Danio rerio: one gene and its partner. The protein of the gene in region 2 purifies or fractionates together with the protein of the main gene of each other region. This does not show direct contact. Links are inferred from orthologs where the notes say so. Each region holds a gene or a part of one and is shown on either strand. Other genes may lie near its edges.

Region 1 (3,659 bases), on a different chromosome or scaffold from region 2:
TATTCTAATTTTATTAATTAGTTTTTTTTAAAGGTAAATAAAGATGAAGGTTATATAGTGTGTCGTTAAACAGATTTCTATTTAAAGAAAAGAAAGAAAAGAAAAGAAAAGAAAAAACACCCTGCAAGTTCTAAAAGTGATCAAGCCTCAGGCAGGTTTGAAAAAGTAACTCAAAAGTAACATAATGAATTACTTTCCATAAAAAATAACTAAGTAACGGAACTAGTTACTTTTTGCAGGAGTAACTCAATATTGTAAGGCACTACTTTCAAAAGTAACACTGGCTAGTAGTATTCTTCTAACATGTAAAAATAATTTAATCTAAAGTTATTTGTGTATATTTTGAAGATTATTTTCTGATGATCATTTTTATATCAATACTATTCGATAACAAAATTATTATTTATACTTTTTTTTAAAGTAATGTCATCTAATTGCTAAGACACTGCTTTAACTATGGGTTTATAATGAGGGTGACTTGAAGTTAGTTTCTTCCCCCAAGACAGTCCTGTATTAGAACTTATTATCCAGACTTAATATAGATAGAAAGTTTATGTTTAATTTTTATTTATTTATTTATTTTTGAGGGTGACAAATATTATTTACATATCAATTGAGTTTTAGTTTGTGAAGAAGTGACCTGTGTCATTTAGCATCAAGCCAGTTTCAGTGAAATCCTCAAAAACAATTTACTTTAGTTATAGCAAGGTAGAAACATAAATATTGAAACACCCGTCAAAGATCTAAAGTAAATGTTTAATTATAGTTTATATAAAGGCCGAGAAAGATGCAGAGAGATTTTTTACTTCATTGCACATTCATTTTCCTATTAAACTTTTATATTTACAGTCAGTTTTCCACAGTTCTACAAGTTTTACAAAACAAATGTATACATTTACAAGGTGTATTTGCAAGAAAAATATCTCCAAAAACACCAAATTGATTCCAAAAACACACCAAACCTTTTCAAACATTTTCCAATCATTTATTCTTTAAAAAAAAAAAAGTCCGGACTTTACCAACCGTAACAATGTATAAGAATTATTGAGGTCTTTGTTCAATTTTATACATTCGGTTTAAATAGATTGCCACCTTTGCTTTACCAATTATAAAAATTAAGTAGTTTACAACTATTATTTCTTTTTTACTGTGTTTAAAATAAAGACTTGTTCAGAGAATAGTTAATTACAAGTAAAAAACAAACCTTTTTTTAAAATCAAAGAATGATATTAATCTAAAACATTGGGTAAAAGCATGAAAAAAAGCTTAACAACTTTCTCCCACTTTTTTAGACAATGGTGGTTTATACACAATAGTATAAATTCATTTAAATTCAAGAATACTCTCAAGATGCATCTTTACTTTCAGTGGATAAAAATCCAGCCACCCATTTTCCACTTTTTCAAAAACAAACCATTAAAACATCCACCTCAGACATGCCAGTGAGAGAGAGAGAATTTTATGTAACACTAAACCTAAAATGGTAGCAATTTCAAATGTATCGCAGCTTTTACATATTAATATCTATAGCAGTAACTTTGTCTTGATGTGTGCAGAAGATCACCTGGAAGCAGTCGAGCATCTGTTCTCTATAGTACTTTCTGGAGCACGTGGGAAAAGTCAACTCTAAACTCCAGAGCAGTTCGGCAGCTCAGCAGACTTTTGATCAAGACTTTAATGTGGGCTTACAACTGCAATCAGGTGTTTGATTGTTTTTAAGCATACAGTATGTGTTTATGACCTAAGTGATTAGTCTTAATCATGTATCCATACTTGTATTAACTAATTAATTTCCTGGATCAAACTTAAATTAGTCTTATACCTGTTAGATCATAGTATGGCAGCAGATTGTCACTTTAAATGTACTGTTTTGTTGATACCTGTCCAATCCAGATTGCAGGCTGAGTTTAGTGTGTTTTTGTGCAGGAGTGCAGGCTGGGAATGTTGGTCACTCTGCAGGAGACTCTGTGTGTAGTGGTAGAGTTCTGGGCTCAGGAACACAGTCCACTCAACAGCAGTCTGGTGCAAAAAGGCTTTAAAGACCTGGCTGAACACATCGCTCTACTGTGCCAAGGTATCCCATAGTGCAGATGGAAACTGGCGAAGAATCACTTTATGCACTAAATGTAACAAATAAGAATTTCAAAAATACATAGATATTATTTATTGGAAATGAAACGTGGAATTTATACATTTCTTTTTGTCTTTCTTTAGACCTTGACTTTGACATGTTGAAGGAGGTGGTTCCAGCCCTTCGCTCCGCAAGACTCCGGATGTTCACTGCCGATGCAATTTACAGAAACATCTGTTGCAGCAGGGGCCTGTTCTTCAGCTCTGAACCACTCTGCCTGCTCAAAATTGTAGGTTTTTATCATATACAGTGTTACAACATCAAGATTTATGGGGTCCGCATGTTTATTTATAGGGTCCAAGCTAGTATTACATTTTGCCACACATTTTGATGGAGCTGTTCGCTATGGCAAATAATTAAATGTGTATTTATTTATTTATTTATTTATTTATTTATTTATTCATTCATTTATTCATTCATTCATTCATTCATTCATTTATTTTTAATCAATTGATAATTTAACTTTGCACGACTTCAACATGACTGAAATAGCACTATCTTCATTAAAAATTGTCTAATTAAAAAAGGTTATGTGCCAACTTACACATGACGTGGTCAGAATTTTATTTTATTTATTTTATTTTATTTTATTTTATTTTATTTTATTTTATTTTATTTTATTTTATTTTATTTTATTTTAAACAAGTGTTAATTAAAGGTATGTGGCCTGAAACAAAATTCTGTCAGAAGAATAGTTTTTTCCACTTAAATCTATGTTAATGCCATTTGTAAGAAAGACTTGTATGTTGTTCTTGCTGTGAATATAGCTATTGGGGTTGGGAATCTTTAAGAACTTCACAATTTGATCCGATTCTGAGTCTTGATTCAATTCCAAAGCGACCTACATTTGTTTTCTAAACGTTTTGGCTGTGCAAATATACTGTTTTTCGAACTTTAATTTTGAACCAGAATTGGAGTTTCTATGCTTTTGCTTATGATTGTAACCAATGTTTTATTTTTTTCATCAACAAAGTTATATTCATCCTGATCAAGCTCTGATGTACACTGAACGTAACTGATTACAAAGAGCATTTTTAAAGAACAAACAGTTCTTATTCCAAAAAAGAGAGCATTGCAATGCTTTGTTTATTTATAACCTTTCAACAAAAAAAGTCTTCAAAGCAAAAATGTTTGAATAATATTGATATTTGCAAATTATATAGGAATTCATTTTAGTTCAGAGACACAGAGCACTAGCTTTAAAACATAGTAGTAATGTTTCGCTTTCAAATTAAACTAATTTAGCTGCACATGTACATGTGTCTGTCAATTGTACGGTAAGTGATCTGCCAAAATGATAAAAAATATTAGCATAATAGCTTTGAAAACGCAGTCCTTCCCCTGCAGTTCAAAGCCACACCTCCTGAAATCACAAACGTGCACAGTAAAACTGACAGTAAACAATCCACTGGATCATGTCATTCACCGGTTAGAAAACTTTACACTACTTTATAATACTACAATTGCCAATGGAAAAACTGTATTATACCTTGCACGTTTTCAGTTGTGTAGCAAGCTAAACTTGTCA
Region 2 (3,659 bases):
CTGGAGACAAACTTCAAATGAAGTACGCGGCTACATTCACGGCATAGATAAATCTGTATTCGGTTTGGAAATCTCTGCAGCACAGTTCTGCATGGAGTCCAGACCGCACCTGAGCAAGATCTGATATATGAGGTGGAAACGGAAATTGCTAGTACCCTTCCAGAGCACACCGATGATACATGGGCATTACATTAAAGCAGCAAATCAAAATAGGAACGCTTGATGATTGCGATAGCAGATGTGCCATAATCGGACAGACAAGTTCTGCATAGAAACGCACTGTGTTTTTCTATTTTGGATAGCACTTTAATCAGCTATTTGTTTTATTTTAATTACAACAATTAATATTTAACAGCAGCTTACATCAATTTAAAGTTTATTAATTTTTTAACTTTTAAAAGTAGTGCATTACAATATCAAGTTACTCCCCTAAAAAAGTAACTAATTACGATACTTAGTTACTTTTTATGAAAAGTAGTGTGTTATATAACTTGAGTTAATTTAGCGTTGCTTTTCCGTACCTATCTGAGGTTTGATTTATTTTAGAACTAGCAGGTGTTTTTTCATGTTTTTGTATAGATAAGTTCTGCATTAAACAACAACCTGTATAACCTTCATTTTCCTTTAATAAATATAGGATATTATATTTTTAGATATCTTTCTGAGCCCAGAGCTATACATGCGGCACATACATAATAATAAAAGCATGTTAAATAATGTTTTTGCTACTTTTGTACATTTTGTGTTATTAGTTAAGCAAATTCCCTGTCCATTATGATAAAGATTGCAATAAAGCCTTCGAGTACTAACATAAAATAATTTATATTAAGGCAAAAACAGATTTTAAACTTTTAAAATGTTTAATAAAATGAACAGTGAGACGATAAAAAAAACATTCCCCTAAATAAATCTGAGCTTTAAACACTGAATAATTGCTTCACGTTGCCTTAACAAATGTGCAAATAGTTTCCCAAAAGAGAAAAAAAATCTTACTATATTATAAAACATAGTCACTTCTACAATATACAATGGCTGCATCTCCCAATAACCCTTTTTTTTAAGTTTAGTCGAATTAATTGTTTTACCTGGAGATTGTGAGCTGATGTCAATCATTTGTTGCTTAGCTGGAGATGAAGTGCGGGTGTACATCCAGTTGTTTGTTTGTTTGTTTTTTTATGTTGTGTTTCTTGCAATTGTCAAGAGTTTTACTTACACATAATCTACACTTAACACCAATCCACTTCCTTTTCTTCGATGAGTTCAAATTAACAAGAATCCATTGCTAAAATGTAAATCTCCGGCCTGCTATGATTTCTTTTTCTGACTGTCTGTAGCGATGACAAGTAATTCTTAAATTAATTGCTCGTTTTTAACTGGATCTTCTCAGCGAACCAGTTGAACCAGTTCATTAAATGGGATGGCGTTGTCATGAAATGGTTTGCGTCTTTAGTACTAACATACCCGATAACCCCTGACTCGAAATAAACTAATATCCTGAGTTATTCAGTTACTAGAACAGTACACTGACTCATGCTGTGAAAAAGAGACCTGATGATGAGTGCAAGTTAACTGTCTGTTCCCTCACGGCACGCTCTCTGTGTGATTCAACCTGACTAAGGTAGTTTTTATTCTACAATTTATTTTGTAAAAGCCAATTAAGCAAGGTAAAAAGTACCTTGAGTTCCTTTTTTTAAGTAACTCAAATAATTTTACTTATTCCTAAAAGTAATGTTACTTTACTCCATAGGTCTCAAACTCAATTCCTGGAGGGCCACAGCTCTGCAGTTTTGCTCCAACCCTAATCAAACAAAGATGCCCCATATATTAAAGGTGCTCCAACCAATCAAAGTGGTAAAGACTAGAGATTAGTAGTCTTGAACACCTTGATTAGTTGGACCAGCTGTGTTTTATTAGGGTGCAATCAAAATTGTGTAGAGCTGCGGCCCTCCAGAAATTGAGTTTGAGACCTATGCTTTATTCGTTACTTTGGAAAGTAATATTATTACGTAACGCACTTTACTTATAATGCGTTACCCCCAATACAAAGACTGAAAATTGAGAATTAAAATGTAATAAGAATTTAAAAGCAGGAATTTTCTTTAAAAGCCCATGTTTTCTAGATCAGTTAAAGAATAAATTACAATCTAACCACTGCTAAAGCAAGGGATTTCTTTCATCCTTACCTGACTGGTCATTGAGCAAATGCATTTTCTTAGTCAACCTTGAAGCAGTAGTAGTCAATAATTTTCAGTGCAGATTTCAATGGCATTTTTATTTTACAATACATGGGGATGAGCAGGAGAATGAATGTGACCCTGTTGTGACATCCCTCAAACATTATTTTCCAACAGCGCAAGGACAGCACATCCTCTAATTCAAGCAGAGCAGAAGTCTCATTGCTTTTTAAATGTGAGATTTGAGAAGTCAGGACTTACGATACATCGAGTGCACCTCCTCAATTTCTTCGGCTGTCTGGTTCTTTGTAGTGATGATTACCTGGGAAACACGTATAATAAGGGGGGAAAGAGATGTTATTATTATAATTATAAAAAATAACTAAAAATAAAAATCTAAAAAGCTGTTTCAAAGTCACAGCACTTATAAAAAGCTGAAATATCCCAAAAACAAAACAAAAAACAAAAAAAGAAATAAGTATCTGATGAATATCTTGTTGGTGGCTGACAAAAAGAGCATTACCAAAAAAAGTTGTCACAAGAAAGTTCTACCATAAATGCATGGATGGAAATTACAATGGAAATTTATAAAAATAGAGCAAATTACTATATTTGTTCATCAGAAAATGGAACATTTTTTTTCATTCTTGGACAAATGGACCAATTATGAAACATCCCATAGACCTGATCTCATAATTTATATTATTTCATTAAACTAAATCATGTTATAGTCTCATATAAATTAACAAAAATGTTTACACAAAAATGAAAATTATATATTTAATCACCCTTGTGTTGCTTCTTTCTTTTGCAGTCATTAAAAATATTTGGGACATGCAATAAATGCTGTAAATGTATCCAAATAGCACAGCCTATAATATCTAAAAAGCCATTTAGATTCAATAACAAAAATATTGTATACATAATACAATTATAACCTAAATGTGTGTAATCAGATGAAATGTTTGTGCAAGCAATTCTATTAAAATGGTTAACTGATTGACAGCCCTAATACAGTATTTATCATTTAGAAACGACAATCCATAGTAGTACATACAGGTTTCCGTTTACTGTCCAGCTGATTCTTTAGTCGCTCATTGGCTTCAACTTCTTTGGCGATTTCTTCAGCTGTTAAACAAAAAAACATTTAAAATAAAGATAAATACAACCAACATTTTTGAAGCAAACTTAATAACCAACAGGTGAAGGATTCCACATATACAGTATCTATTCTAGGTCACAAACTAAATGTGTTGCACAAATCATTACCGCCAGTGAACACAGAATGTGAACTCCAAAATAATTCTGAAAATCACGACAATCAGCTTTTACATCAACTGATTACATCCAATGCAGTGCAATTTACTAATTCACTCAATGGTACATGACAAAACAGTGGGGAAAAATACAATCCAAACATAAGTTCAGTCTTCAAACAGAAACCATAGCAACATCGGGTGATAGAAAGAAAAATAGATGGTTTCC

Evidence for each region. The genes of interacting proteins can lie anywhere in the genome.
Region 1: the proteins of rad18 (region 2) and slf1 purify together in Homo sapiens (affinity purification with mass spectrometry; 4 studies listed by BioGRID and IntAct, with this or other methods). This does not show direct contact. The link is inferred for Danio rerio from reciprocal best matches to the Homo sapiens genes RAD18 and SLF1.

Annotation. Positions count from the first base shown.
Region 1 is NC_133180.1:54,463,830-54,467,488, forward strand, and holds part of slf1 (SMC5-SMC6 complex localization factor protein 1), read left to right. Parts: intron 1-1,556; coding exon 1,557-1,701; intron 1,702-1,926; coding exon 1,927-2,074; intron 2,075-2,214; coding exon 2,215-2,360; intron 2,361-3,659. UniProt on the Homo sapiens protein: Plays a role in the DNA damage response (DDR) pathway by regulating postreplication repair of UV-damaged DNA and genomic stability maintenance.
Region 2 is NC_133181.1:44,383,620-44,387,278, reverse strand, and holds part of rad18 (E3 ubiquitin-protein ligase RAD18), read right to left. Parts: intron 3,303-3,659; coding exon 3,232-3,302; intron 2,497-3,231; coding exon 2,436-2,496; intron 1-2,435. UniProt on the Homo sapiens protein: E3 ubiquitin-protein ligase involved in postreplication repair of UV-damaged DNA. Postreplication repair functions in gap-filling of a daughter strand on replication of damaged DNA.